Struthio camelus: one gene and its partners. The main gene of each other region encodes a partner of the protein of the gene in region 3 in a complex. Links are inferred from orthologs where the notes say so. Each region holds a gene or a part of one and is shown on either strand. Other genes may lie near its edges.

Region 1 (10,331 bases), on a different chromosome or scaffold from region 3:
GCTCATAAAATCAGCAAATCACCACAACAGACAAGGAGATAGTTAAAAGCATTTTCAAGAACAGGACTGGAATTAAAGATAATCCTGAAAAATCAGAGAAATGGTCCAAAGTCAGTAAAAGAAAATTCAACAAAGACAAGTGCAAAGTACTACCCAGAGGAAGGAGACATCAAATCCTCAAATAAAAACAGATAATGGATAACTAGAAAGCAACACATTTTGAAAGGTTATGAGAATTACAGTAGATTACACACTCAAGTACTGGTCAATACTGTAGTGAAGGTGAAAAAGTAGGCAAATCTCAAAGTCGGTATGTTAACAGAGAATTTTATGTAACTTGCAGAAAGTAACTATTCTATAGCAGAAGGCCTTACCTGGAACACCCAAAGAAATAGCCTAACAAAACAGAACATCAAGGAGACAACCGCAGGACCAGAGACAGTTTTAGAAAACAGAGCCTGTTAGGAAATTTGATTTATTTACCCTAAGGAAAAGAGAAAAAGAAGTAAGTCAAAGCAATCTTTTGCAGATAGACACAAGTGCGTGGTGCCTGTGCTGCACGAAGAAAGCAGAGAACCAAAGACAGTAAAGAAGACTTTGACCATGTTACAGGAATGCCCTCACCCCATAGTTGATGCTAAGGCAATGAAAGCCTGGGACAAGGTAAGTAGGGCAGCGGTGGAGTCCTCTGGACCAGAAGTTCTTTGAGAGAAAGGTAGATAAACGTCTGCTAGGGATGGTCTTGACGTATGTCATCCTGCCTCCACGCAGGAGTGCTGCACGAGGCAGTCTCCTTGTGGTTCCTTCTATTCCAACATTTCTGAGAAAATATCAAAGGAAACAAACTTTTAAAAGAGTTTTTGATAGAAGTATCATTTGCCATTTCATAGATAATATGCATAATTTATTTTTAATTTGGTGTGTAAACATATCTGGCCTAGTTCAGCTTTGCAAGTGTTTTACTGGGATTGTAATGAAATTTTCTTCATGTCCTAAGAACAGATGATACATTCACAGGGCTATCAGCTACACTGATTGCTCTGAAGTTCTCATTCTACGTGATCAGTAGTTGACAGGTAAGGTCTTGCTGCTCTTATTGTTTTCCAGCAAGAACCTTTGTACTCTGCATTTTGGCTATTTCATAGTTCTTTTTTTCCCGAAAAAAACTGGGTGGTGCTTTTGATTCATTTGTGAGTGGAAGCAACAGAACTAATGAAGCCTGGCTAGTGGATTTGTGTTCACTATCATGCCAGCCCTCCACTGCAATAAACCTAGCAGTTCTCCCAGCCCTCATATCCTCTATGCATTGTACATTAAAATCTCACAGTGCTGTGTCCACTACCAACATTTTATCCAGTTTTCCCTTGTCTTTTTGAATTCCCTAGCCTTCAGCCACATCCTCTGTTCCTTGTCTACTGGGTGGGGAGGAAGCAGAACAAGCTGTAGATGTTTTAGGGTACATTTATGTTTATTGGCTAATATGAGTGGTCAAATGAAAGGCCAAAGAGAACATGTAACAGTCAAACTCACTCTGCAACTTTCCCCTGAGTGCAAAAACTAACTTGAGCTTCTTTCTTTGATTCATTTGTGATTTTCACTAAATTTGTAGAAACTTAGTTTGAGATCTTCACACTTTAGTAAAATTTGGCTGAAATCAGCTAATGGCATTAGAAATTACTGGCAGACAGGGGGACCCAACAGACAGACAAAAATATGATTGTCAGAACATCATGTCCTTAGGAAATAAAGCTAAAAGTAAATGTGCTTTTATTTTTTAAAAAGCCCAACTTTACATTTAATGTATTTTTAATACATAAGTGATGAGTTTAATAAACATTTCTGTTTTTCCAGAAGAATATAATGTATTATTCTCAAAGTTTCAGCTCTTACTTTATTGCGTATGCTCCCTGCATATTCAATAAATAGCTTAGGATAAAAATAAATAAAAATCTGAGTTTTTTAATTTCACAGCTACAAATAGTCTTTCCTTTGCTCCAAATGGTCTTAACAATGCAACAGTTCTGACACTTCTAACCTTTCAAATAGTTCAGACAAACTAAGGTCTTACGTATAGGTCAAAATTTGGAGAAAGAAGGTTACAGTTACTGTGAACTATTAAAAACCACTAACATGCTATTTTTTCTACACCGTAATTAGACTCAGGCTGAGCTCATGTGGCATGAGCTAATTGGAGACTTACAGTCTGACAGGTAATACAGTCAATCAACACCCTTTATCTACAGCTATTTTGCATGCAACATTTGTGATAGTTGTCATGATTCAGAAATGCGAAGGACAGTGATCAGATGCATCTTGATTCCTCATTGCTGGATGGCTTGAAGCAGTGCTGGTGGGAGAACTGAGGCAGAAGCCCAGGAAACATCATTCAGCCACAGTGATCCTGTATCTCGAGGACTCCAAGTCCATTTTCACATTGAACAGTCACACATGAACAGATTTCTAACACAGTCAACCAATTACAAACGACAGGCTAGACTTATCAGTGCATTTTAATACTAAAATAATAAAAAATAATTTAAGGTTCCTACATCCCATTCCTTAGTAATATCATGTGAATAATTTTTTAGTAGTTTTTCATAATCTAAGAGGACACAATCTTTCCATATTGCCAATGTCTTGGGTCTGGGCAATGAATGCTATGCTTTGGTTCCTGCAGCATACTTTTTACAAAGGTGTAAGTAGGTGCACATTGGCAATGGCTTAAAACCTGCTTGAATCTTGTTTTGGCCTTGGCCTGCATGCAATAGCTACCTGGGAGCAGGTCTGAACTGGCTGTAGGAGGAAGCTGCAGAGGATGAAGGCTCCTTGAACCCTCTGTGATGCAGCTTTGCAAGGCAGAACCACAGGCCAGGCCCGGTCAGTGCGAAAGTTCTCCAGCTAGCCTCTCATCCTCCTCTGTGACTTGGCAAGGCAGAAGACCCAACCGCTGCAAACCGAGGGAACAGGAAAACGAAGGACAGATAACGCAGTGGCAGGAGTTATGCTCTAACCCATTTGGTTCCTTGTTCCTGGCAAACCTTTGTGATAAGAACAACCTTTGTGCTGTCCCTGAAGGAAAAGGGGGCTGGATACCGCTGGGGGAGGGTATTTGGGAGAGATCAGCAGACTGAATGAACGTACTGTGTACGTACATTAAGGGATATTTGGTTGCCAAAAGAAGATGTGAAGTAGGCCATTTAGCAAGCCTAGCACAATTTACAGAGATATAAGTCAGGGTGCAATGGGAGAAGTGAATGCCCATCAGGCAGCTGACCTTTCCTTTAGAGCAGTCTGTGACAGGAAGGGAAATCAGCACAGGCACTGTTAAAAAAAATGCTTGTTTATTTACATTGCCATTGATAGCTCACCATGCTACTTATCCCATGTTGGCTTAGCTGAGCCCTGACAGCTGCTCCTTTCAAAAGCGGTTTCTCACTTATCCATAGCGGAACAATGCAACTTTAGGTATTTGCTCAGTGCAGACTTTGAAGCACTGACTGCCTGTGCTGTGCTAAAGTGTAAACACCAGTTTCCGAGTTGCTCAGTATATGCAGTTTCTAAATAATCTTGAAGGATATTCACTTGCATGAGAGTTCATTATTAAGTGAATAGTCTTAAGCAGTGAATATGATCTTTCATTGCATACAATGAGAAAAAAATTTAAAATATTTCTAATTTTCTCCCTTACCAACAACCTAGGTGAAAATAATTGTTAAAGGTGAACCACAGCAAGGATGAAGTGTGTTACATTACTAGGATATATGGACTACAGGTTTAATTAACATTTAGCTATATTAGAAAGACTCTTCCTTTAAGTATAGTTTCAAATTATTCTAAAATAAGACTATGCTTTAAGGAGCACACATATCTTGTCAGTGGTTTAAAATTAGATCGAATATTCTGCATGACTGAAACCTGCTCAAAGGATGTGCACGCACACGTGTGTGGGAGAGAGAGAGGAAAAAATCGATTCTCTACTACTCTTTTCATCTGTACTCTTCAATACTGAAAGGGAGTTTTAGATTAAGCCACAATGAAATTAACTGTATTTAAGTGATTTTGTTGTGGATGATCTCCTTAAAAATTTGCACTTTGCAATCTGCCTCCTGTCATCAATTCTTAATCCAATAATAAGATATCAACCAGGTAAATACTTCCATCAGAGAAAATGTACAAAGTTAAGCATGTGCTTTAACGCTTTGCTCAGCTGATCACGACAGCCCCATAACTGATGGCTTACACGGACAATTTTAATTTTAATTACACCCTCAATACATTTGGGTCTTTCCAAAGGCTAATTTTTCAGCAAAACACGATAGCTAGGTGATCTGTCAGGTCTGCTTGGACTAGGAGCAAGTGCTCTGCTGGTCACAGCACGGAAAACCCCTGGATTAAGTGCTTAATTTTGAAGACAGAAGTAGGAATTGGAACTGCGGAGCTAAAAAAAAAAAAAAAGACAAAACACCACGGAAAGCAAGGAGGATCAGCGTTACAGAAATACAATTAGCTGGTCATTCACTGTAGATGAAGGGACACCGCAGCGGTTCAGCTGTAAGCACAGGGGGCAACGCTCCGTGCGGGCGAGTAGCGCTGCGGGACGGCGTTTCCGCGTGGGGCTGCGCGCGACGTGGGCGAGAAAGGCGGCAGCACCCGCCGGAGCTGGAGCTGAGACTCCCATCAGGGCCGCGAGCTCTGAGCCCCCAGAAGTTGAAGCTGTTGCTTCACAGCGCAAGGCCGGTCCCGGGGCGGGTGGGCGAGCGAGCGGGGCCGAGGCCTGCACCCCGGCCCCGCCACAGGCGCCAAGGACAGTCCCGCCGCGCGACAAGGCGCCGCTCCCGTGACAGCAGCTAGCCCACACGCCTCGCCTCGAGCCGTAGCTGCCTTCCGCCCAACGGTGGGCTTCTCCCGTCCCTCCCGGGCGGAGTGGGAGGCGCCGGGATTTTTAGCGTCGCGGTTCCCCCCCCCCTCCTCCCCGCACCGCCGCGGCCGCCGCCCGCGGCTCCCGCCGGGCCCCCGCGGCACGTAGGCGCCGCTGACCGCGCCGCCGCGGCCCGGCCGGCAGGTGTCGCTGTTCCCCTCCCCCAGGGCGAGCCGGGGCCGCGGCGCCGCGGGGCGGCTAGCGGGGACCCCGCGGCCGGTGGGTGGGTGGGCAGCCCAGCCCAGCCGGCTCCACTCCGCTCCGCGCCTCTCCGCGGCCCGGCGCGCAGCGGCTGCCGATGTGGCGGGTGGCTCGGCAGGGCCGGGGCCAGGTGAAGCGAGGTGCCTCGACGCCTGCGGGCGGTGGCACCGCCTCCCTCCGCCCCGTACGGCGCCTTCCTCCCGCCCCGTGAGTGGCTGCCGGCTGACTGACAGGCGAGGCGGCCACACAGGGCGGCAGCTGCCTCGCGTACACCTATAAGGGCCGGCGGGGAAGGGGCGCCCGGCAGTGAGGGGCTGGCGGTGGCGGAGCCCCCTGGCTGGCAGCCTCCCTCCCGGGCCGGGCGGGGGTCCGTGTCCCGCTCGGCGACCCCAGCGCTCTTTTGAGCGGGCGCCCAGAGCAGCGCTGCCCGCATCGCCCCGGTCACCCCCCCCCCCGCTCCCCCGTGCCGGCGAGTAACGGCCGAGGCGCGCTGCCGGCCCCCTGCCCGGGCGGCGGCGCCGGGAGGATGCGGAGCGGCGGAGGGCGGGCGGCGGCGGGGCGCCGCGGGGGGATCCGCCGCTGCGCCGGGCGCGGGCGCCGCCGCCCCTGCCTCTGCGCGCGCCGCGCGGCGGCCCCTCAGTGAGCGCGGTGGCCGCGGCGGGGACGAGCCGAGCCACGCGCGGGCGCCGGGCGGCGGCTGCTGCTGCTGCCGGCGCAGGGGCTGCGAGCCGCGCCGCGCCGGGCAGGGCCGGCGGCGGCCCCGCCACAGGTGACGCGGGCGCTGCGGGTTGTTTTCCGCCCTGCGACCGCCGCTCAGCTGCTGCTGTGCGCGTTGGCTCCGCTGCGCCGCGGCTGCATATGCACAGCCCATCTTGAGTGACTTCGCCCTGCCTGCGCGACCAGAGCGCCGGGGGACATGGCTTTGCTCCGGCTCCTTCTCCTCTTGCTCCTCGCCCAGCCGGGGCTGGGGGCCGCCGCCGGCCAAGGGCAGGCGGGGCACGGCCGAGAGCGGGCACTTCGAGGGAAGCAGCCTGTTCACAACCACATCAAGAGCCGGGATCCTCCCCCGGCTCCGCGGAGCCGCTCCACGGAGAGCACCATCTTGGCGCAGCGGCTGGCCGAGGAGGTGCCCCAGGACGTGGCCTCGTTCCTCTACACGGGTGACTCGCGGGAGCTGCGGCGTGCCAACTGCTCTGGCAGGTACGAGCTGGCCAGCCTGGCCGGCAAGTCGCGCTTCGCCTCGCACCCCTCCTTGCACGGCGCCCTGGACACCCTCACCCACGCCACCAACTTCCTCAACATGATCCTCCAGAGCAATAAGTCGCGGGAGCAGAACTTCCAGGAGGACCTGGAGTGGTACCAAGCCTTGATCAGGAGCCTCCTGGAGGGGGACCCCAACATCTCCAAGGCAGCTATCACTTTCAGCACGGAGCCTTTCTCCTCCACCCCCCAAGTTTTCCTGCAGGCCAGCAGGCACGAGAGCCAGATCCTCCTGCAAGACTTGTCCTCCTCGGCTCACCGCCTGGCGAACGCCTCCGTGGAGACCGAGTGGTTCCACAGCTTGAAGCGCAAGTGGAGGCCGCATCTGCACAGGAAGGCCCTAAACACGGGCCCCAAAACTTTGGAGAACAGCTGGAAGAGGCGAGAGAGCTTCACTGCTGATAAGAACCACATCAGGTGGTCGTCACCTTTCCTGGAGTGTGAGAATGGGAATTACAAACCCGGCTGGTTAGTGACTCTCTCGGCAGCTTTCTATGGACTACGACCAAACCTGTTCCCCGAATTCAGGTAAGAGTTGCGCTCCTCTCTCTCCGTTTCCTCTTCGGAAGCGGGTTGAATGGCGTTTCCACTTCTGAGCCCCTTTCAGAGGGGGTGAGCTGTGTCTCTGGAGTGACCTGATCGGCCCTCTCCAGACTGGCTGCTCAGTGTCGCCACAGGGGGCACAAGGCTTTCCTTGGGGTATGGCCTTCCTGTTGAGCTTTACCTTGGTGTGTCTTGGGGAGCTGTTGCTCAGTGAAAGAATTGCTTTTATTTTAGTCTGTAAAACGCTATGTTCTTTAATTGCTCTCACTGGAAAAGGTGTGCATGTGGGTTATGTTGCTAATGTGCTCCTGTGGGGAGAGGAGAGCAGGAGTTGCCGGTTTTAGTTTATTTCTGATTGTAAGAGGAAGATAACGCATCGGCAAACGTTTCTTACTACACTGCATAATTAAAACTGGCGTAACCCCAGCTATGACTTTAACCAGCTGGGAAACAATATTATTGTACTGTAAACTGCAGTTGTTGATCTCCAGAGCACATCTGCTGAGGGGGGCTCAAGCCTGGTCGATGTATCTGTAGGTAAATGTATGTTATGCAGTTCTACCATACTGCATATGGTTACAGCCTAAACTGGTAATAGGAAGGATTTTCTTAAGGTATTGTCTATAGGGACTCCCCCCTCCCCCCAAAACTATTATGGCCCTCTTGTATAGTTGGTGCCTGGCATATGTAAAGGTGCTTGTTTTTTACTACTGTTACCCCCAGGATTTAGCCACTGGGCTGCGACTAGTGAAGAGGAGGATATGAAAAGGCCCAGTCTCATGTCCTGTTATTTTAGCAGCAAAGAACTTGTAGTGGATGGGTTGTACTTACTCTTTGGGCGGGATTTTGTATTTTTGCGCCAGAACTTTTGTAGTGGGGGTCGTGGATAATTCTGTTTATTGAGGATTGTCCACTGCCCTAAGGTAGTCAGTATTTTCCAGGGAATAAGAGATGAGCACTGATTTTGTTCTGTAGTGGGATGCAGTGGTGGGTGAATATAGACAAGAACACAGCAAAACTGAATGGATTTCAGTGGACCTAGGTGGCCAGGCAGTCACCTATATGAGCATTGGTTTTCTTGGCTTCATCTGAAATCCAGTGGGATCAAACAGGTATGAATGCAGTTATGCATCCTTGCGGGGGGTGGGGGGAAATCTGTTGATTAGAAAGTGGCTCCTTATCTCCCTACAGAATGGTACAATTTCCACACTTGTGGAGGCTGGTAGGATTAGGGTAAAATGACGTCATGTTGAAGGTGGTGGTGAATTCCTCTCGAGCAAAAATCAAGAGGAATTGCGTTTCTGAACTTCTCTGGACCATAGTCTGGTCATAGAAAAGTTCAGGAAACTTCTCATAGTTTTTGCAAAGCAGTGTTTTACGGGTGATGAACTTCTGGGTGCAGATGAATGCTACTGTAGCATGGCATTATCTTGTTGGGTATACGTTTACTTAACCTCAAGCACTGCCAGCTGATTGGAGACTGCTGCCCCACCCCCAGCCTATCTGAGAACTTAGATCTTCATATAAAGCTTAACTCAAAGAAGCTTTGCTGTTGACTTCAGTCAAAACAAGAGCAGGTCTTAAGCAACAGAATCTAAAGCTTCAACCTCAGCTCTGTGCCAAGATCCTGTGATGCAGAAAGCATCTTGGTGATGTTTTCCACTGTAGTAGCTCTGTCCAGTGCACGCAAGGTGCCAGGACCATTTTGGAGGACAAGCCAACTGGTCACACAAGCCAACCAGTAGAGGTCCTCCTGGTCCTGGTACAAAGTCCTTTACTTCGTGGTCTTCCCGGCCTCTCTTTACCATATGGGAATCACTTGACAAAGTATACTAATTAACCTGTTGTAAATCAAATGCTTTCAGGGACATCCACTAAGCATGCCTAGGTTTGGAGATCCTTTCTTCATTTAGAAGCTCTTGCAATGAGACACACAGCAAATTTGAAGCGCTGCTTCAAATATTTTGATTTTGAAGCTACTTAAGAGTTAAGACAAAACTAAGTTTTGCTGTATCAAAACCAGAGATGAAACCAGGTATGGTAAGCATTTCTAAGAAATGAGGCAATATGTTTTAGGTCACTGTATAAGGAAGGAGGTAGAAGTAGTACCCATATGCTTGCTTTGGCAAGGCCAAGTGATGGTTTCTGTGCTCCTTGTCTGAGGTACGTTGCATGGAAGGTGGCCTTGTAGTAAAAGTTCACAGGAAACTATTATTTGGGATTTTGGGGAAAAAAAGTAACTTTACAGCTGTATAGAAAATATTGAAAATCAAATAAACCTCCTTGAAGACTCGTAGGATGTTTTTTTTAATCCCAATTTGCTTAAATATTTGCAGAATATTTTCCATACTCAGTAGGGCACAATTAGGCAGCCCAAGCCTCAGTGTGAGTTCCTAAAAGAAGAAATGGATTCAAATATAAAAACGTAAAATCAAATGAAAAATCAAATGGAGTCATTAGAACATTAGTATTAATCATGCTAAGATGCCTCTCAAAATAGGTTTTATTTCACTTTGCCATCTGGTTTTGAGTGAGACAGTGGTTTAAATCTGCAATTCCTGTTTAAGGCCCATATGGTAAAAAGTGGTATGTATTAGTCTCCATCTTTTGAAAAAGCTATGTTGATTCTCCCAACAAAATGTCTCTGAGCCATCTGTTAGGAGCGTGTAAACTGAAGCATTAGCATGCTCCTTCCATTTAATAGTCTGGCATGAGATCATTGATAGTATAGTGCATGGTCCTTTAATATTCCTCTAACAGTTTATGTACCTTCTTCTTCACTGGCATGAGGTTTATTGCATAATATGCTAGGGCAAGAGACATTCATACACTACTTTTCTTGATGGAAGAGTTTTTTTCAGTTTATAGAAGGAAAAGCCATTGCATCTACTTTTTGGTATATCTTCCATTGCAGTAACAGATGGATGTGTCACATGGTGTAGTCAGAAAAAGTTTAATGGAGGAAAGACTGATAGTTACTGCTGGTTTTATTCAATACTTGTCACTGTTGTGATGCTGCTCTCAATGGCATTCTAAAAATGCAACCAAAAGCCAAAACGTTGTTCTTTGCAGTCTGCAGGTGGAATCTGCAACCTAGCAGGTCTATATTATTATACGGCTCAGCACTCTGACCTGTGTCATAGGAAGCGTGCCTCTGTAGAGAATCACAGGAATTTGTCATTAAACTTCTCTAACCGCCTTTACTGATTTTTATTACACAATGACACTGAACCCTATTCTGCAACATACAGTGATGCAGCTGGTCTCTCTGCAGCCCTGCTGTTGAACTGGAATGGTGTGAAAAGCTGCATGTTGTGAGTTTGTTTCATTCTCTGAAAGTATTTACTTGGCCCCTGGAGGCTTTCATTGCTTCAGCAGTCTCATAGGCCAGTGAGGAGGATTACTCCTT
Region 2 (10,342 bases), on a different chromosome or scaffold from region 3:
GGATGGCTGTTGGCACTGCAGGCTGCTCTGCAGTGGCATCGGGGAAGGCCTCTGGCTGGCAGGGCACGGCTCCGAGTGAGCTGAGAAGCTCAATGCTCTCTTACAGAGTGCACTGCCCGACTTCCAAACAGCGTCTACAGGCCTTGAAGACCTTCTTGGGTAGGTCAGCATTTTCTTTTATGAGAAAGAAACAGAGAGGGCAGGCAAGCAGCTTTCCTGAGTAACAACCTCTGCAGGAGAAGTTAGTTATTTCATATCTCATTTAATAGCAGTACTTTCAGCTGATATGCTGACTCCTTCCCCTCCCCCCACCCCAATTTCCAATTGTGCAAACTCACTTTGATGTAAAATTCACTCCACTGCAGCAGACACAACTTAGGCTGCCTCACGCTGGGATCATTTGTGCACATCTGGGGAAAGCACCATCTGAGGAAACTAGTTTGCCCGGCTCCCTTGCTGTTGATTCAATGTGGAGCTGAGCAGGGGCACAATATGTCCTGGTGCCCACGGCAGCTCCGACTGCTCTAACACACCTCACATGAAGCACACACATGAAGTGCAGAAGTTGCCTCAAGTTTCAGAGCAGAGGAGAGGTCCTGGGGCAGGGGCTGGAGACGCTGGCACCAGAATTTAAAATGACTCATTCCAGAGAGGAGCTAACAGGATCCAGCCCTTCGCTCTGTGGTGCGCTTGTCCACACTAAAACCTAAGGTGACACAGCTGCTGTTAGCTAAAGGGCCAATGCCTGACCCAAACCATTTGAAATGAAGTCAGAAGCTTAAATGCTCTAACAAGCCGGTGGAGGAAAGCTTAAGCTTTCCAGCACAGCGCTGCAGACTGAGCTCTCGCCCCGCCTGGCAGGTGACTGCTCCAGAGCGATGTTGCTGCGTCACACCTTTGTCACTTTTCTAGAGCTGCTACAAGAAAGCTCACGGGCTGGAAAGCGCCGTCACAGCAAAAGAACAGACATCCTTAACGTTATTTGAGATTATTCCCTGGCGTAGGGTCAGGCGAGCAATTTCTGCTTAAATCAGAGATTGATTTCTAATGAACTAGCTTTTCCATAGATGTTCTCCAAAAATGCCAGCCCTGCAAACCGTGTCAGCATAAGGCTCTCACCTGAAATCTCTGCTCTTCTACTCACTCAGCCAGGGGACAAGTGCTATCCACCGTTCCTGTCCATTAAAGAATCATCTTTAACAGGGGTCAGGAGCAAGGAAAAAGGTCTGAGAAAGTACCATATAAGCCCACTGAGGAAAAGATACATTTTCCTTCTCCCTTTGCCCACTGAACCCTGCTAAATGATCCAATCGAAAGACCTGAAAAGAGTGGATAGGAGGTTATTGTGGCAGCTGGAAAGATGTTTGTCTCTAGAAAATATCTGAAAAAACAAACGTTCCACAGACAATAGGCAGTGTTTCCATTATGTCAAAGCAACCTAGACTCTGTGGAACTGTCTATTTTAGCTTTACTGATTCTCTGAGGACGCTTATCTCCAACCACAGCCATAATAACCTTCCACCCGCCTAGCACAGATTTTGGAATCAGATAATCTTTTTGAAGCATTCTCCAATAGTTTCAAAACAGTGTTAAAAATTATGCACTTGGGGAAGCAGATCAGCTAATGTCAACAAGTAACTCGAGTAGTTTTACAAAGGTCCAGATAAAACAGATTATTTTTCTAAAACATATGGTTTGGCCTGAACAGAAATTGTGGACTTGCTGCAGACAATATTGGGTATTGGTCTTTGATCTTTTCTGCTTCAGAAGTCAGCTGGTCCTAACGGTCCCTTCTGGCCTTAAAAATCTATGGATCACATTAACAAAAGAAGCTGCTTTTTCTATACCTGAAATTCTAAGTGATAGAAGTGTATCCTTAAAATCGTAGGATTGCAAATCAAATGTATTTTGCTATTTGCTCTTTCCATCCGCATTTTTGAGAGCTGCAGTTCAAAACCAGTTGAACAAATAAGGACAGTCCTAATTCAGCTGGTTGTTTGTTTTGGAAACCATGGAGGAAAACCATGATCAGACTAAAAAAATGTCAAAGATATAATTTTAGATGGGGGTGGGGGGGGAAACAAGAAAGAAATGCTTTATTCTGGAACTTCTAACCTCTATAGAAATAGCTCTTGGGAACAATTTATGTGTCCAAAAGCTTTGATCAATGATATAAAATATCATGAGGGACCACTGTTCTGCAGTAGTGTAAGACTTTTGCCTTAGAAATCACGTCATGGATAAGTAAATACAGTCTTCCAATATAATTTTACAGATTTCACATATGACTGAAAGACGTAAATATCCTATGACTGCCTACCATGACACGCACAGTTATAGTATCACTGCAATCGTAGATAAAACTCTGCTTTCCTGATCAGATTGGATTTAAGCATATGCTTAAGTGGTCTGTTGAACAGAGACCTCGTTACTTCTGGAATAGAAATTACATTCATTACATAGGATTATGATAATTTTCAGTAACATTTATGTAATGAAGCCATCTCCATTTATTTAATGATTTCTATTAAGAGAACACTGATATAGCACATGATTATCCAATTTAAACAAGAAAATGCTTTATTTACTCTAGAAACAAATCTCTTTTAACATCCTCCCCCCCAAAAAATTTAGGAATATTTGCTTCGGTCTTAGGAAACATTGACATCTAAATCACTAGACACAGACTCACATTCCCTTTCAATATTTAAGGCATCAAAATGGAAGAAATAAAAGTTGTAATGACCTACTAAAATTGCTAATAAAACGAGCCATAGGATTTCAGAGGAATACAGAAATTTACACACATCTTCTCAAAAAAGAATTTCAATGCGTCATCGCAATTATAAAAATGAAATAATCAAAATAAAAAGCATTTTTGTGCCTCAGGTGATTTTGCATCTCAGGCGACTGCATATGTATTTGAGGAGTTCTATAAAAATAAGGTTAACTTATTTTTATCCTGCATCGGAGGCAGGGGAGGCTGAACTCTCTGTCCACGTTAACCTTGCATCCTGAAACTGCAGCTGGTAACAGCGAGCTAAGCAGCGGCCGCTGGAGGATGGGCTCACCTTGCCCCTCTGACCCAGCCCCGGCTCGCTGTACGCTGTTTCCCTAGGGGGAAGAGGAAGCAGTGCACCTTTTTGAGCCATACACCTTGGGTGAAATCCTGGCCTCGTTGAAGTAAACTCCCACCAGCTCGCACAAGGCGAGGCTTAACCTCTCTTTCTCCTACTACGACGCGCGCTACAGCGAAGCAGATCAACCGCAGAACGCCCTGGGCGAAACACGTCCCGTCCCGTCCCGTCCCGCCTCCTCCCGCCCCCCCCGGCTGCTGCGGACGGGGCAGCCCGGCACCTGCCCCGCTTCCGGCCGGCCCTCCGCCTCCTCCGCAGGGGCCGAGAGGCCGCCGAGGCCGGGCTGCCTGCCTGCGCCCTGCCGGCCGCGGCGCCCCGGCGTAGCCTGGAGGGCCCCTCGCGCCTTCAGCAACCACGGGACCACCGAGCGGCCCGACAGGAGGGGCCCTGCCCGCCTCCCGCTGCAGAGCGGGACACCTCCGTTTGCCGGGCGGCCAGGCAGAGCCCGACTGCCTCGGCGCGGGGGACTGCACCCCGCCTCAGGGCAGCAGGGCCGTACGCCTTCCTGCAGCAGCGGGCCCCTCGGCGCGCCCGGCCAGCCCCGGGGGGCCACTCACGTTCCACGTCGTGCAGCTTGGCCCTCTCCTCCTCCAGCTTGCCCTTCAGGCTCTCGGCCTCGTTCTTCAGCGACGCCAAGGTCTCGTTCTCCTGCAGCCCCTCGGTTGCCATCTTTGCAAAGGAAGCAGGGAGGGAGAAAAGGAGCGAGAGGCAGGGAGGAGGAGTTTGATCGCCTGGCTTCCAGGGATGCTGCTGAGGCTCCCGCTGCCTGAGCAGCTGAGCCGGACCGGACTCCCGCCCCCTGCCCACGCTGACGTCCAAGGCCAGAGCGGAGGCTCCGCTCGCCGTGCCGGCGGCCAGCGCCCGCCTGCGCGGCCCCTTCCCCCACCGCAGGCCCCGCCAGAGCGGGCAGCGCCGGCCCGGCCCGGCCCGGCCCGGCCCGGCCCGCGAGCTGGCCTCGCCTGGCTCCTGCCGCGGCTGCACCCACGCAGCCCGCGCGGCTGCAGGCTTCCACAGCAAATGGCTGCTGGGCAGCACAAGCCATTCGCACAGGCCGGCGGTTTCACTTCCCCACATAAACGTGCAAAAGAACACACAGGTTTCTGCTTGGAACCAAAATTGCTTTGTGCCAAGAGGTTGCACACGCTGTGGGGGAAGGAGGAAAAAAACCTTATCCTTTATAAACCTCAAGGCATTTTAAAATGTCACACTGGGAAGACAGGTCCTGTCCAGGCTTAGCAAGTCACAACTCAGTCCGTCCTTCCCTCACACCCGACAGGTAGGGGCTGACCAGGACGCTCAGGTACCCGGAAGGTCTCTGACCCAGACCCTGTCCCAGTACGACAGACGTGGTGGTGTGAACTCTTCTCTCTACTAGGCTTTGAAGCCCTTGTTTTTAAATCATCTGCTATCACTTTTTCTCTTTTTTTTCTTTTTTCTTTTTTTATTTAACCAATTGCCTCTTTACCCTGCACACAGATATATGCACGTTAGGGTCTGCAGCCTTGAAATGGGCCAGTATTAAACATCCAAACAGAATGAGGAATCCTTCACTTTGGTGTTAGCATGAACCCGGAGCAGCGCTCCAGCTCTGGCTGCATGCAGTCACGTCATGACCGCTGGGCGCGCTGGGCAGCTCACGTTTCTAGAGACTGAGCCCGCAGCAAATGGACCTGCAGCTTTTTGTTCCCTGGAAGGGGAGTTCCTTGAAAAAGTCCTCTTCTTTTTATAGTAATTGTCCTTGATCTACATGGAGTAATTCTGCTAATATTGACTCCCATTGTCTCCCTTTAGCCAGAAAATAGACAACCCAAAAGCCTATTGTTCAACCTGGAGACGTTCCCAGAGCAGAAAGTGAGATATGAAAATAAGCATTTGCAGCTGTTGTTTAGACTCTGGGCACATCCTGGACACAGTACCGGGTCCCGGAGAAAATCAAGTCCTTTCCCACACTGGGTTTAGCAGTAGTGCCACTGTCAGCTGGGATGCACAGCAGAGCTCCTGAGCTTTTCAGTGTGCAGGCTGAATTCAAGCCTTGGTCTGATCTTGTGCTTTCTTAGTCAATGTATCTGCAAACAGGAGCTGGGTTATTTACCTGGAGAGTCAAAAGCAGTGGATACATTTCCAGTCTTCATATTGTCCACAGAAACTGGTATGACTTAACCACGTCAGCCTGATGGCTGTGTAGGCAACCCTGAACTTATTTTGATCCAATTATGTTCAGTATCACAAAAGAAAAAAGCGATAGTGTAATCTATAGAGTTCACATACTGCTAAATATGGCAACATTCTCCAACGCAAACAGCACTTTGCAAATCTTCTCTAACGCACTGGCAGTGCCAAAGAAGTAAAAATTCAGTATCCTCTAACTCAGGCCAGAACAACAAAAAAAGCATCATGAAGCAGGAAAATGTCAGGAAGCTCCTAGCATGTTATCTTCATGTCTGAAAAATTAAATCCGTTTACATTAAATTCCATAATGTAGCTTTTCTGTGTCCTAAGGGCGTGGCAGGGGAAGATTTTGAAGAAGAAATGTGATTTTTTGAAGGAGTTTCATCTATGATGAACATCCTACTTCTGACACCTGATAAGCGTGAAGAGATCCAGAAGTCAAATCCAACAGAATCTATGAGAATTTTATTTGCCTTAATAGGAACCCATCAGCTCTAAGGAATTTGTCGCTGTGATAATGTTTGTATGTCAGATGGCTGGCACAGTAATGACAGTGAAAGGTCCAGACTTTCTTGCTTTACTGATGTGAGCAGTCTCACTGCCTTGGGGAATGGCATTAAAAAGTTCTGTGAAGAAGGATATAGAAGGTGTGAGTCTTTGGAAACCACACGTGTTCAGACTGAGCCTTGATATCAGTCCCAAGATGACAGGGATGAACAGAACCATGAGATGAAAGGGAAGTCTCTACTGAACAGAGTGAATCTTAAAAGTGTGTGACATATAACATACATTTCATTGGTCTGAGTAAAATAGAAAGTATTTAGTTCACCTAACCAGCTGCTTAACTACCAATGCAGTCATTAGCTAACCATGCAAAAACTACAGGTGAGAGCAAGGCCATTTGGGAGCTTTAAATAAAATGAACCAGGCTTGGATTAATTTAGAGAATAATATAGTACCAGGGCAACTACCAAAAAAAAAAAAAAAAAAAGGTAGAGCAAGAATGTTACCATTTAGTAAACAATGCTTAAATCAAGCTTTTTTGTTTCTCCCTTTTCATAAAATCTAATCATGCTCAAGGCAATGTACTTTTAACAATGCATGAGCAATTACTCAAAATAGTAATTATAAATACTGAATAACTTGTGAACACAATGTTAGAATTCATTATGCTGAAGATGGTTTAATCTGAAATGGCAGATCCACCTGCAGCAGTGGATAAAATATAGTTCCTCTTAACTTGGACTCTGCAGAGTGCTTTGAGATGGGTTTCAAAACAGGTCAGCGCAGGCCAAATGTCTGTGAAATCGTCCTCTGCAGGAGGTATGGTATGTGGACTCTATGGGAAAGAGGTAAGTAACTGAACTGTGCTATATAATGATACCATCCATTAACAATGCAATAACAACTGGTGCATAAAAGTGTTTGTTGCTGCGGCCTTATACTGACCACCAGCGTTCCCTGGAAAACTGACGGCTTCCAAACTAGCTGCTATGTCCTCAATGGCAATGAGCCTCCAAGCTTCCCAAAACAAGGACAGCTTCTTATAAGATGCCTTTTGTCTCTGATCACTCCCAACAAAGCAAAGGCAAGCTGACTCTTGGCTTCATATATTTTGAGAATAATCATCAATTGCAACCACTCTGGAGTAGTCAGCTTTCTACACAGCATTACTCTGTGGAGCTGCTACAGAAGAAAAAGCACTCTATCACCAAGAATTGTGGCAAAACCAAGAGTTACTGCAATTGTAAACTACCTTTCAAACCTGACAAACAAACCAGATTGCAGTGACTGGGAAGCATGCAAGAAAGTTGGTACTGTTCTATTATTAAGGACATAAGGGAAAAAGGAGGGTGCGACACAACAGTGCGACACAAATTGTTGCCCATCTCAAAAGGCAGGTTTAAAAAGTTTTCAGTCTCACTAATTCACCAGCTAATCTGTTGTAGGATAATTTACTAATACTTTCTGTGGATATTAAAACAGCAAACGCTTACTGACTGCATTAGCGTTTCTACTGATTAGCATCTATCTCCAAAACTGGTAAAACTCCAAAGGAAAAAGATGATTTTGTCTAAAAGGCAACTCATCGAAGCAAGACAATCTCAAAACTGGGACGTGAATTCCTGAAGCATGCGTTGGTTTGGGGGAAATCACAAGAACTGCCTGATAAAAATGCATATGTGCAGCTGAGTCCCACCTGCATCTGAAATTAAGAGTTACCTGTGGAATCAAGTAGTTGCAGAAGGACCAGCCCACTACACATTATACTATGCACATGCATTCACAAACACCCGCAAAGGCACGGCAAGGACATATTGCGCATTTTGATACTAGTAGCCAAAGCATACTCACAGCTCTGAAAGGCTAGTTCCAGAAGGTGAAGGACCTAACTTCCCTACCTATATGCATTTCAGTGCTAATGCAAAGAGATCTTTAAGTATTTGTTTTAAAATCTCTTTTTCAAAATAAATATGAAGGAGAAAGCTGAAGCCAGACCTACCAGAAAGTCCAAGATACTATTTTGGTGCTAACAGGAAGCCTAACAGACTGTTAGACGCTGAGGTAATTCTTCCTGAGCCCTCTTTTTCTTCCACTCAATAGCTGCTTCTGTTGGTAGAAGCCTACCTTCTATAACATGGAAGGCAGAGAAAGGAAAGAGGAGAAAGCTGCAGGAACTGTAAACAACAAAGTTTCCTGCAATTCCAGTATGCATTTATCAAGTCACGCAAAAATTTACTGGATACATAGCTATTTATAGGCTGTTGGCCAAGAAGGACCTGAACAAAACAGTAGTTTCAAAGTCAAGAGAAGCAAATGAATAGAGAAGGGACTGTCTTTTGTCTTGCAGTCGTTTTATCTAAATTTCCTTCTAAACAATGTAACATATGAGAACGTGCTGTGTCAGTCACTGAACTGTACACATTGCACCATTTATGACCACCAAATCAGTGCTCTCATCTGCCCATCGTACAATGTTTTCTAAACACAGCTGGTTAAACCTTTCAATATTCCTGCAGAGATCATTTGATCTGACACTCAAATGCAACAAACTGTTGGACACTGCTCAGTAACAGTACAGACCGGTTCCGGGGAGGAAGCAATGAAGGATGTCTTCTCTAACTGATAATACACAATGGTTCAGGAAGAATAAAATTACTCCAAGTTGGAGTATAACCAGGACAAAAACATTCCTAAGTCTACAAAAGGAGTTTTGGAGACCAGCTCTTCAGTGGCCACGCAGGTTCATGACCTTAGCTTTGTATTTCATCTAAAAAACAGTGACCTCACTGGGACAGTGTTCCCTGCCAGAAGAGTGGGATATTGCCTCACCAGTAATTGTTGGAGCTTAGAAAGCCTCCAGCATATCTCTATCTCGTGCAGGTATTCTAGTAGGACATGTCGGTCAGGTTAGCAGGTTTGCTAATATTCCCCATTACCACCTTCTTGGGTGGTCCACAGACATGTAAACAGAAGAGCCTGATCTACCATGCAACAGCCTCTTCCTGCATTATCTTCATTGCAGATACCTCCTGCTCTCAAAGATCCCTCACCCAGCTACTGCACATGGCATGCAAGACAACATGGTCTCAGTATGACATGCAGACTCTGAAGGAATTCCGAGAGCACATGAACAGGCCCAGTTTTACTGAGCTAGCCTAAACCAACTTTATAGCCCCTAGTCTCGAGTTAATCAGTTTATTGCCATGGTTTCATCTTGTGTTAAGTTCTGTTGAAGGTAACGGGCAACACTCAAGATCACAGGCCCAGCATTTACTTCAGGGCAGAGTTAGCTAGGCATGTAACATTTACGCAGCAGTACCCTAGGGGGAAAAGCTTGTGGTCATTTTGCAGTCAGGAATCAAAAAGGTATCACTGAGCACAGAGCCCCCTCTGTTCCAGGCTCAGGGAATTAACATCAGGTGCTTACAATCAGGTTTATTTGGATTAGAAGCAGGCAACCTTTCTGCCTACTGAAGCCTGTTTGCTGCCCAGAAAAATCCAACAAAACAGAATATTGATACGTCAACCCCTATTTTTATCAGTATTTTCACATTCTCACTGATAAAATCAACAACGTACCATTTCCACACATAGCGAGCAGAAGCTGAGTTGTTCTGATTTGATGTAAACAGGCCTAAGTGGTTTCTCTTTGGAGCACTTGTCACACGGACCAAATACAATCGCTAGAAAGGTCTGGTCGCACATCTTTGCGGTGTGGTAGGGCTGAAAGAGACAAAGAAGAAAGCAAGCATGCATTCCAGTCTAATGCAAAGCTTCCTGGTGTTTCTTGGGAAATGCATCTTAGACTGCCTATAGACATCTGTAGGCTGGATAATCTCTCTCTGAGACTAATCATTAAAGCTTGATGAACTGTGACTATATGCAAGACAGTCACAAGCATATGCTCCGAAGATTTTATTTTTATCAAGAAAAGTAGGTGGGAGAACTTTTTGTTATAACGTGCAGCATTAATTCACTACGTGCAAGAATTAACTCTTAGTTTTTACTTAACTGATGCCAGCAGACTGTAACCAGACAATACATAACAATGAGCTAGATTTCTGAGAAGTCAGCACTGATAAATATTTACTGTTTTCCCATTGCATTATTATACAGTCAATAGTATGTATTATTTTTAAAACTGGAAAGACAGCCTAGGATTCAGTCAGCAGCTACAAAAATATTGTGAACAATGCATTACTTGAGCAGAAATTGATGTTTCATCACATTGAAAGCTGGGTCATTATGAACCCAACTTTTTTACAAGCCACAGTTACCTCTAGGAACAAAGCACTTTCCTCGTCATCAATAGAATTAAAAAGTGCTTGAGAGTCAGAAATAGAAACAAGCAGAATCTTGTAGTGGCATTTTTCTCCTTGTCTTTCTCATAGGGAAAATGAGATCTTTCACCACTTCTAAAATGGAAGCTTTTAACAGTACTTAGACATGTACAAACAGTTAACACAATGAGTTTCTTGTTAAAAATTAGAAGAACCTATTGCAGAGCGGACCTAAATGAAGCAAAAGAAATT
Region 3 (10,409 bases):
GCGTCCCCCTTTCTCTAGTATGCTCGTGCCAGAGGAATTTAAATCTGTGACTTATTCCTAATCAGTCCTTAATAGGTGGCTGCTTCTATTTTGATCTGAGTAAACACAGTCCCGTGGATCAGGCCTGAGAAATTTTCTTTAGCGGGGAAGTGGAAGGGCTAGTTACCTGGTTTGTTGGAGTTTTTTATGGTTTTAGCCACAAAAAAGTTAACAAAAGGCTACATATTTGTAACATGAGGTTAATGTCAGACTGAATTAATATTATAGCTTGAGCTAAAAGAATTATAGCTAAATTTACAAAAGCACAATTGCCATGTTTTCTTCCCATACCTCATATACGGTTGTTCAGTAGTTGGGACGCTCCTATGTGAGGCACGCAACATCTCCTAAGATATGGATATAAATCTCTCATCTGTGCCTTCCAGGAGAGTGTTGTAAACACCAAGCACCAGGAGAAGCTGAGAGCAATCCACCCATATTTAAAATAGTTTATCTAGAGCAGAGACCAATGCCCCATTCCCCTGACTCTAGGTTCATTCTTTGTCAATAATGCTTTTACACAAAATTGAAAAGCTCTCAAAGAGCAGTTTTGAGATTTGGAGAGGATTCTGGTATGATCACATCTAAACTAGGTTCAAAAAACCATCTTTTTGCTGGAGGTCAGTTCTATTGTCACATGCTTACTTGATTTCATATCAGTAGGAGATATAGATATAAGATCAGGAAAAATTAATCTTCCGTTTTTCAGGCAGTTTTAAGGGAATATGGTGTAATATTTGTCATTCTGTGAGCACTTTCTGAGTAATTGAAGGTGTATGGCTGATTATGATAGTTATTTCTTTGGAAAGAATATTAGTGTTGATTGATATTGTATATCAGATAGCTAATTAACCTCTTTCTCTTTGAGAAAGACTGCCCTCTTTTGGCTCTAATTAGAACAGGTTAATTGTCAAGACTTAAAAGTGCAAGTACTTGAGGCTGCTCTCCCCTGTCTCTAGTAGAAGCTGTTTATCCCCATGGGTAGTCCTGGTGGCAGTGTATTGATATCAAATTGTAAGTAGCTGTGGATATTCTGTGGCAGTAATTAACGTCTTCAGTAGGATATGAAGTTAAAGTTTTATGTATATATAAATCATACTCTATATATACATAGATATACTCTCTCTATATATAGTGTGTGTATGTATATCGTACTTCAGAAAAGATTTTGGAAGTGTGCGCTCTCCTTATTTCTAATACTTTGCTATTCCTGTGAAATTATGTCTGTCCATGACACTCTAGGGTTTTTGTTTTTCTGTTTTATCGATTCACTTTACATTTTTTTCTCTTTCTACATAGGTTGCTATTTAATTACCTTTTCTTTTCTAAAACTCTACTTTTTGATGTTTTGACCTTTTACCCCAAAAAACAGAGCGCAAGTGTCTTTGATCTTCATCATCATAAATCACCAGAGGTAATTAAAGTTTCAATAAGGTTGGCAGGTATGTGAAAAAACAGATGTCTAGGGCTTAAAAAATGTGCCTTGAAGGAATGAGTGAAGTTTTTAAGACAGTCCTGGGTTTAGTTTTAGCAGTTATGTGCCATAACTTGTAATCTTCTAAATGACACTCAAAGACCTATATTAAATGGACGGATTACAGTTCAGTTCTGTAGGAGCAGGTTTTCAAATCTCATCAGAAAGGCTAAGGACTGAGCTTGGAATCTTAGTTACCAGTTCAGAGCTTGGCATTGAAATGCTGCTGTTATGTGGTATCACAAATATGTCCGATTAAAGTAGAAAGCCTAATTCTGTGCTTCACTAGCCTGGAGGAAAAAAGTCTGGGTTTTATACTTGAAGGCAGCACAGTAGTAACTCATGTCAGTGTCTGGAGCCTAATTAACTAGAATGTCTGTGTTATTTCAATAAATTTGAATGTGATTGTTTATAATTCTATAATGTTTTAAAGACTTGGTCATGGACCAGGACCATGCTGTGCTGAGAGCTTTCATAATGTGTCTTTACTCCAAGGAACACTCAGTGTAGGCATAAGACAAGAGGAATTTGATGGATATAGGCAGCATATTAACATAGTATAACAGCACTGGTTAGTAGGACTTTTCAAGACTGAAAAATTCCCTCTTCCACATCCAGACAGGTTGTCCTACATATCCAGAAATAATATTCTGATTTAAAACTGCATGCCCATGTGTTACGTATGGCACACGCATATGATGTTCTTGGAATACTTTAGCTGTATTGACTGTGCAAACTAAATGCAAAAAGTGTAGTTACCAGCTTGCTAAATCATATGTGTTTTATGGCCTTGTTAGATAAAACTGCCCCTTGGCAGCCTTTGCTATCTTCTTTGTTTTATTAATGAGTAGTTTTGCTTTGCGTTTTGAAACAGGACATTCCTCTTTTGGCAGGCCCTGCTTTCTGGGGAAGCTAATACTGGCTATGTATGAGATAAGCGATGATGACTCTCAAGCATGGGAAAGATACGTGACTAATTTATGAATCTTTATCTTTTTATAGGCTATTGAGTAGATTCTTCTAACTGCATCAGAATAAGTTATCAAATTATATTTTTTAAAAGAAATAATGAAACAGCTTTCTTTTCTCTTATATGGGTGGAAGCGGCCCAGTCCAGGGTCTGTTTCATTACAAAGCACCAGCAGAAAGAAATTCTATTGGGTTGTTTCTGGTGTGGGTTTGTTTTTTTTTTTTTTTCATGTTTAGCTATTGCAGAGGTTAGAGCTTCTGTCTCATTCTAATACTGGACATACTGGTGAAATGGAAGACTCCTTAGTGTGCTTCAGCATAGGAAGCCTGTAGTTATGAGACACGCCATTGGGATGTTTGAGCCTCTGGTTCTGAATACAAGATTAAAGACTGTGTGTGAAATCAGTTACCTTTATGTTAGTGGAAGAAACACCTATTGACTTCAGGAGGTCCAGATTGTTACTTTATCTGCGTACTTGACTGAATTTACTTTGTACCTTAATTTATGATGATCAATATTCAGTTAATAGCGGAAATATATTTATTTTCGAAAAAAAAATCAACTTTGCCTAACTAATGTAACATTTTGTATTTTACTTGATTTGTGAAATTAATCAGAATATTTAAAGCAAAAAAGTAAGATAATTTTAGAAGCTGTATAGCTAAAATCTTTACTCAGATACCTCTGCCTTTAGTTTTGAACAGATTCTCAGAAAGTAAAGAACTTGAAAATGCTGCTGCTTAAACTAATAAGCTTTGCTGGGGAGTTCTTCAAAGACACATAACCCCTGCCAAAATTCACTTGCTGCGTAGCTTATAGTAAATAGCTAGATTGAAGACATCTTGTAAAACATAAGCTACTTCTTGTACATACTCCAAGAACTGCAGTACAAAAGACTTTCCTTTTCTCTAGTTTTCTGACTTGAATTAGTAATAAGATGATGTAAAGTAAGAAAACAAACTTAGAACTATACTGGAAACTTGCTAACATTTGATTTCTGTGCCCTTTAATGCATATGCTATTTTAAGATACAGTCATTTTTGGCTGGCAGAGTAAATGGAAGGAATGTATATGTATCATCACTATTTTTAGTGATTTTCCTCCTACCCCACTTTTAGGGTAAAATTGCATTTAAAGCATATCTTGTGCAATCACCATTTCTGCTCTCGGAAAGAAATGTAAACCGCAGTCTGATAAATAAGACTTTGAGTTTGTTTTGGGGTCACACAGCTATAAGGCTGTGACTTATGTTCTTAACAGATCTTGAGAGGTATGTTCCCCTTGACTTCCAGTACGTCTGTCAGTCTCACATAGTCTGTAGTAAACGAGCACTGCAGTACTGCTTCCTTAGGAAATGTATGCAAAAGTTAGGGAAATATAGATCCACATTTTTATTGCTGGTACCCATTCTCAGTGGTGGACTGGACTGAATCACCAGAGTCTGCGCAAAAACCTTTTGAAAGTTAACATTTGGATTCAGATTCATTGCTTAGGTCTGTCAAAATGCTACCATACACTGAGTGGATTTTTCATGGGAAGCAAGCCTTTTCTCAGTTCTCTGTTTATTTTTTAGTTCCATATTTGTTTCTGCCTGCTATTTTCAACCTCAGTACTTCTTTTCCTTTACTTTCCTCTTGCACTGTCAAACTCTTTCATCTGTGTTGATCTCTCTTCCCTCTCAGAACTCCAGATTTCTCTTATATCCAGACTGTTTGATTCCACTTACCTTTTCCTTGTGACATACCAAATTATTCTCCACTGAAAAGGTCTAGACATGCACTTTCTGCTACAGAGCTTCTTTCCTTTACTGTCAATATATCCCACTCAATTCAATTGCTGGTTCTTACTCTGTTGGATCATTTCACCATTTACTTCTGCCCTCCCTCAAGGACGTTCCTGTCCACGTTTGAGATCATCTGTTGTCTCTAGTGCTCACTCTGGGACCTTTATCAAACCTCTGTCTTTCTCCACTTGCCAAGAAGTCCAATCATTCTCTCCCCCTTATTTTACATTGGCTTCTGGGGTTCACTGTCATCAGCTTGTCTAATTTATCATCTCCTCTGGTAAAGGATCTGAACGCCTCTGCAAAATTTGGAAAATGGTAGTTTTGATAGGTAACTTCTAGCAAGATAGAGTTGATTTGAGGTTTCTTTGGGATGTGAGGAAGGCAGAAAGAGCCTGAGACAGTACGTATGGAGACTTCTGAGCTTGAATTGCAGTGATTCTGCCAGGGCACGCTCCGTGAGGTGCAATGCATGGTAGAAGGTATTGTCCCCCAAAATGACTTCTTTTGCGAGATCATCCTTGTAATAAGAGTTACTGTTTCTAGAAAAGACACTTTCAAATGGGAATATCTGATGGCTTACCACTGAAGTATCTCCTGTTCTTGTGGATGTTGAGTTCAAGACATTTCAGCACTTCTGGAAAATCAAAGCATTCTTGTCCCTATACGGTGAGGAAGTATGATTTACATGCCTAATTTTTAATTTCATCATGGTAAGCTCCAGGCCGTGGCAAATTAAGCAGTTACTTGGGATGTAGCAAAACAGCCCCAAGGGTATCTAGAGAGCTCCTTCCTATCAGCCTGGAACAGACTTGCTCTCTGGTCTCTCTTTTCTACTGCTCAAAGTGGTCCGCAGTGCCAGCACGACTCAAGCTCTCTCGTTCTCCCTGGAAAAAAAAAAAAGAAAAACGTGAAATGTCCAGCGTAGGGCAGAGGAGCAGGCAGATTCCCTGCTGGTGTTGGTAAAAGGCGTAAAAACGAGGAGGAGACACACTTTCCACACCCGTCTCTTTTATCCCCCTCCCTCCGCCTCCTTCCCTATCCCATTAGCCCACATTCTCTTCCTGCCCAGTCCTCCAGTGCTGCCTAATCTCATTTACAGGGGCTGCTGCCAGATCTGCAGGCAGCTGCAGTTCCTTGGCCGCTGTTTTCGGTGAGCGAGCCGAGAGCGGCGAGCAGGAGCAGGAGGAGGAGGAGGGCTGCTGCGTGGCGGAGCGGCAGCAGCACCTTTGACGTGCCTGTCCCCCACGTGACAGCCGCTCCATTGCGGGGAGGGAGCTGAGCTGCCGCCGCTCCGGCAGAGCTGGGGGGAGCCGCAGCCTCGGCGGCGGCGGCGGCGGCAGCGCCTCCGCCCGCAGTGCGCGTGTGTCCGTGTGCGTGCGTGTGCCTGCGCGCGCGCGTGTGTGATGAGCGATCGCCGCGTCCCTCCGCCTGCTGCCGGCTGACACGGACGGCGCGGGGCGCGCCAGGAGCGGCGGGAGGAGGCGAGGAGCCGCGGCCACCGCGCAGTGACCTTGGCCCGGGAGGTAAATGAGCGGGGCGGGGAGCCCCGCGGTGAGCTCCGCGCCGCTCCGCGCCCCCGCCCGGCCGAGGAGAGGGCGCCGCCGGGAGCGCCCCGGGCGGCGCCGCCGCTGTCCGCGGTGCTGAAATCGCGGGAGCGGAGCCGCGCCGCGCCGCGCTGCCTGCGGGGCGAGCCGGTTCGCGCTGCCATTCGGTGCCGAGAGGCGCGCACTGCGCGTGCAGGGCAGGGCGAGCCGGCGTGGCGGGCACGCTGCAGTTAAGCCCGCAGCCTGGAGGCCTGGGGAGGGGGGGACAGGGGAGGGCTTCGGAGGAAATGTTTGGACGAGAGCTCAGCCTTCCAGGCTCTCCGCAGCCGCGCCGGTGTGGTCGGTGGATGGAGCACATTCTTACACCTGCGTGCAAAGCCGGAGCTACGGCATGATCTGAGCTCTTGCTTAGCGCAGCTCCCGTGTGACCGGGGGGAGGGCGGAGAGGAGCCGGGCCTGGCGGCGGAGCTGGTTTTTTGCAGTGAACTAGAATGAAAGTAGGTGAAAGCAACCAGCAAGATCTTCTAGCTTGTTTCTTCCCTTCCTTCCGTCTACCTGCCTGCCTCCCTCTTGGCATATGTGTAAGAGTACAGATATGCTGGCAAATAAAGTTCAAAGCAGCTGGTTTGCTTTTTGTGTGTTTGTGTGTTATGAAAGTCTCTATGACCTGAACCGTGAGGAGAGGACAGTGTTGAACACGGTCACGGGCCAAATCAGCCAGTTGAAAACTGTGGTTTGGAAGGTGCACAATATCCATTGGTGCAGCCTGTGTAGAGGAGGAAAGAGTGCTTTGTGACAAGATGCCTGCATGATACAGTGGTTAGTGGTATGTCAGGGAGCTATGTGGAGTGGCAATTCATTAAAGTCTAAATTAGATTAACGTTTTACATGCATTCATTATTTGCATGCAGAAGAGAGTAATAACAGTGAATAGTGAATAAGCTGCTTTGCCCCAGTGTAAATATGTGGTGAAGAAAGTATACACTGATTGTGATAACCTGTTAGTAGAAAGTCAGGTCCATTAATCAGCAGTGAAGGCAGGAGATCTGAGGTGGTGTCTTATGAAGACCACTTTTACCTTTCACAGTGCAACGTTCAAAAGCGGATCAAAATCGTGGGACATGGCGCAAGGAAATAATTATGGGCAAAGCAGCAATGGGGTGGCTGATGAATCCCCAAACATGCTGGTGTACAGAAAGGTAAGCCTTTGTGTTTTGCAAAATCTGAGGAAGGGACATCAGAAAATGGTTTAAGTCCTGAATCTTTTGCCTAGCAAGAAAGGCCATTATTTTTACTGTTTCTGTCCCCCTTCCTGAAGAGATGCTGCTGCTGTGCTTTACCATGAATGTAGAGATGTGATTTCAGAACATGATTATCTGATACAAATTTGGAACATTTTGTATCTGTTGATATATATGTTACTAATGCAATTTAAATGGCATGTGAAAAGTAGATCTGTATCTGAGTTACTTTATAGACTTCTTAAAAAAGAAATTATTGGATTTGTTGTTCTGAATGTTCTGATTGTTAAAGCACACATGCATGTGTCAACTTCACATCATGTTCAGCAACAGTTGGGTTTGAATTTGTTTAAACATTCTCTTATGTTATCTGAAATGTCTACACGATAACTCTCTTCTGTACTACTTGATGTATTTTATTCACTTTCTGCATTGATGCATATGGGATGCAATGGTGGTGGTGATGTATCAGAGACTGAAAAAGCATTTTGAGTTTTTGGGGTTTTTCTGTATGTTTTTTTAACAAGTCCTCCCTGGTAACATCTATCTTTAAAATGGATTCAAATATTTTAAAACTGAATATTAGCTACGTGTTACAATATCTTGTATTTCTTTGGATAGAGATTCTCAGAGTGCAGGAAAGTCGGCACCGTTAACTTGTTTCATATGAGGGGAAAAACAGATTAAAGGTATTACTTCTCTGCAATCACCAGAACTTAAGAAAAACCATGCACTCCCGGGATTCTCTCTGCAAAAGGATTTTTAATGTAGTTATTTTAGTAGCATCGATATACAAATTTCCAGACATTGAACTCCAGTAATGGGGTTTATTTAGCCACTGTGCTTTCATTTAAGTGACAGTAAATGCTTGGGGATTTTGAGGTGGGTTGATACTTTTTTTAAACTTGGCAGTTGTGTTTATTTTGATAAAACTTTAATTGCATTTATCAAAAAAGAATAACAAAATAAATTCTAGTGATAATGGAGAAAGATAACTACTCTTACAAACTGAAATATGTTATTATGTAACTACTTGTTTATTCCTAGAGTTCTGTGCTTTTTAACTTGTTTATGGTTGTTTTTATCAGGTGGAAAAATAATACTTATATTTTGTTAGAGGCATTGACTTTTATTTTTGCAAGTTAGCTGTAACAGAAAACATCTGATATATACTCAATTGAGTCTTAACACAACTTGGATAGTAAGACAAATTGATGTGAGGTGAACTGAGTTGTCGTCATTAATTGTGGTAAGTCTTTTTTCCCAGAAATTATAAAATTGTCTCTAATTGAAGTCTGATGTATGCTTCTGCTATTCCATGTTTTCAAATACGATGATGATTTCAGTGAATTCTAATGGTATTTGCTATTTTGAAAAATTAGGCCATCTTTATGGAAGTGATTAGAAAGGAATTTAATAACTTAACCTTTGTATCCGTATGTATAAGAATGCACATCTAGAATAATACGGGGTCATCTTGCCATTAACATCATGAGTGTGTTTCAAAATGAAATTTTGTGCATGAATGAATGGGTCAAAATATGCTGCATATTTAAACACAACATACCAAAACTTAGTTGTACATTTAAGGCTTTTGATCTTTCAAAACAGTTTTTATTTATCATTTTCTGTACTGAGAAGGAACCCTCTTCTTTACTACTTTAGTATACAGAGGAAGAATGTCGAGAAACTGTGTTTGTCTTCTCCTGTGGTATCGTGGTCTGAGGAGCTGGCCAAGCTTGTGACCCATTATGTTTAGTGTGAACTCATGCCCCAGTTTAACGTTGTCCCTGAGCAGCCTCCAGATTCAAAGGAAACTTTTGAGATAAGTGACATGAACCCTGATGAATCAGGGGAATTTTGAAACTGGGAGTGAGGGCAGGATACAAAACTCCAGCTGTATGCTTAGCAGGATCAGAGCATCAAACACCTTCTCACTTCTGCGGAGATCAAAGATACAGGGATGGTACCTGCTTGTGTCTTTCAGTTTAGCAAGGGCCCTTATTTTGTTGTCGTCATTCTTAAAGTGCAAGTGGTTTGCGGACTCTTACGTTTACGAAGAACGCTGACCTTCTACAATATTACCAGTAATATTTATTTTTATCGATCTTAACTTATTCCTATAGGAAGGTAAGACAAAAGGATCATTAAATATTGTGCAGACAGATGTTAGATTACTGGGAGAAAACTTTAAATACTTCTTCCTTTAGCACTATTTGAGGAATAGGCAACAAAATAATAGCTAACGTATTTAAAAGTCACCTACCTACCTTCTGGTACGGCTGTAATCAAACGTATTATAGCTTCTGTGTCTAGAACATAAGAAAAGATTAATTAGGTAGAAATCATTTCAATTCAGAATATATTATCTCTGAATATAGTTCTTTATTAGCAACAACTACATCACAAGATTTCTTGTAATACGTTTGAAAACACAATACTTCTCTATCTGTCATTGTGTTAGGAATGAAAGCTCTGTGCTGAGTGAACAAAGAACTAGATCTGTCAGCTTCGTGAAGGACTTTTTTTTTTTTTTTGGCCAATTGAAAAAATATTAATAGTTGTTAGTAAAAAAGTACGTAAATATGATATTGGCTGGCTTCAGAAGGAAACTAAATTTGAAATCTTAAATCTCATTGCTCAAATATACAAATGCTGAAATGCTTTCTCCCAGTGGTTTATACAACATCAACACATAAAGTAGCACACATTTTGTGGTAAATGTGCCTGGAAGGAATAGATAATGCTTGAAATCAGAAATCTGATCCAAATCTGTGTTATTACAAAGATTTAGGGTTTGCAAATTCAATATTTAAGGCTTGAATCATAGTCATTGCACTTTTTTAGGTTGAAAACTTTTGACAAGCAATGTTGTTCTTTCTTTCCTTTTTTTTTTTTTAAATATGTGGTTGATTTCTAGTTAATTTCTCATTCTGAGGATTGAAGAAAGTGGTTTGTCTGAAAAAAAAAGGAAGAAGACCTTGTAACCTAGGATGGTACAATATAGATAGCATTTTTTTCTCAAAGTAGCTCCTATTCATAGACAAAGAGGGTTTCATTGTGTTTTGCTTTCAGATCTGAAATATTTTTTAAAAATTCAGCATAAACTATTTTAATTAAATATTCAGTGCATAAATAACCAACTTATTTGATGGAAAAGACAGTAGTACAGATAAATAGCTCCTTATATCATTTTTACACTGCCTCTTAAGATGCTTGCATGTCAGTGTTGTTATGCCTTAGGGAATACTTTTTATTTTAATAGAGTGTCAGTTGCGTTATTCTTTTTTGACTATCAGCATAATTATTAAATAATGAAATATGACACATAGTTGGTGCTGACATACCTTTAAAA

Evidence for each region.
Region 1: the proteins of RGS7 (region 3) and GPR158 are in contact, whole or in part, in a cryo-EM structure (PDB 7SHF), measured with the Homo sapiens proteins. The link is inferred for Struthio camelus from reciprocal best matches to the Homo sapiens genes RGS7 and GPR158. Residues at the interface, in NP_001351815.1 of Homo sapiens: Gln35, Ile43, Ser55, Arg109, Phe110, Thr112, Pro113, Tyr114, Phe115, Lys134, Thr136, Lys140, Ala141, Arg142, Leu143, Leu145, Ala146, Asp147, Ala150, Leu153, Gln157, Trp164, Phe168, Met169, Gln170, Glu172, Ala173, Gln174, Lys176, Val177; in NP_065803.2 of Homo sapiens: Leu507, Lys508, Phe510, Leu511, Arg513, Thr514, Tyr595, Tyr598, Ala599, Thr602, Val603, Pro604, Ile714, Arg715, Leu718, Lys719, Tyr722, Leu725, Glu726, Tyr728, Lys729, Arg730, Met733, Ile734, Thr735, Asn736, Asn737.
Region 2: the proteins of RGS7 (region 3) and GNB5 are in contact, whole or in part, in a cryo-EM structure (PDB 7EWP), measured with the Homo sapiens proteins. The link is inferred for Struthio camelus from reciprocal best matches to the Homo sapiens genes RGS7 and GNB5. Residues at the interface, in NP_001351815.1 of Homo sapiens: Pro19, Leu22, Val23, Lys26, Val30, Ile72, Val76, Glu77, His80, Leu81, Leu84, His88, Val207, Asp213, Ile214, Lys215, Lys216, Leu258, Gln261, Ile262, Trp265, Gln266, Gln268, Leu269, Arg271, His272, Arg273, Leu274, Lys275, Met276; in NP_057278.2 of Homo sapiens: Leu57, Glu60, Ala61, Glu62, Leu64, Lys65, Leu68, Glu71, Lys74, Leu75, His76, Asp77, Val78, Glu79, Leu80, Val83, Leu90, Phe93, Arg98, Arg99, Leu109, Lys117, Arg118, Ser134, Phe135, Trp149, Met151, Leu167, Tyr197, Ser206.

Annotation. Positions count from the first base shown.
Region 1 is NC_090943.1:20,055,375-20,065,705, reverse strand, and holds the start of GPR158 (metabotropic glycine receptor), read left to right. Parts: upstream 1-5,846; 5' UTR 5,847-6,035; coding exon 6,036-6,907; intron 6,908-10,331. UniProt on the Homo sapiens protein: Metabotropic receptor for glycine that controls synapse formation and function in the brain. Acts as an atypical G-protein coupled receptor that recruits and regulates the RGS7-GNB5 complex instead of activating G proteins.
Region 2 is NC_090953.1:14,914,653-14,924,994, forward strand, and holds the start of GNB5 (guanine nucleotide-binding protein subunit beta-5), read right to left. Parts: upstream 4,028-10,342; 5' UTR 3,807-4,027; coding exon 3,695-3,806; intron 1-3,694. UniProt on the Homo sapiens protein: Enhances GTPase-activating protein (GAP) activity of regulator of G protein signaling (RGS) proteins, such as RGS7 and RGS9, hence involved in the termination of the signaling initiated by the G protein coupled receptors (GPCRs) by accelerating the GTP hydrolysis on the G-alpha subunits, thereby promoting their inactivation.
Region 3 is NC_090944.1:97,341,331-97,351,739, reverse strand, and holds the start of RGS7 (regulator of G-protein signaling 7), read left to right. Parts: upstream 1-5,369; 5' UTR 5,370-5,419; exon of another isoform or gene 5,420-5,792; intron 5,793-6,900; 5' UTR 6,901-6,934; coding exon 6,935-7,012; intron 7,013-10,409. UniProt on the Homo sapiens protein: GTPase activator component of the RGS7-GNB5 complex that regulates G protein-coupled receptor signaling cascades.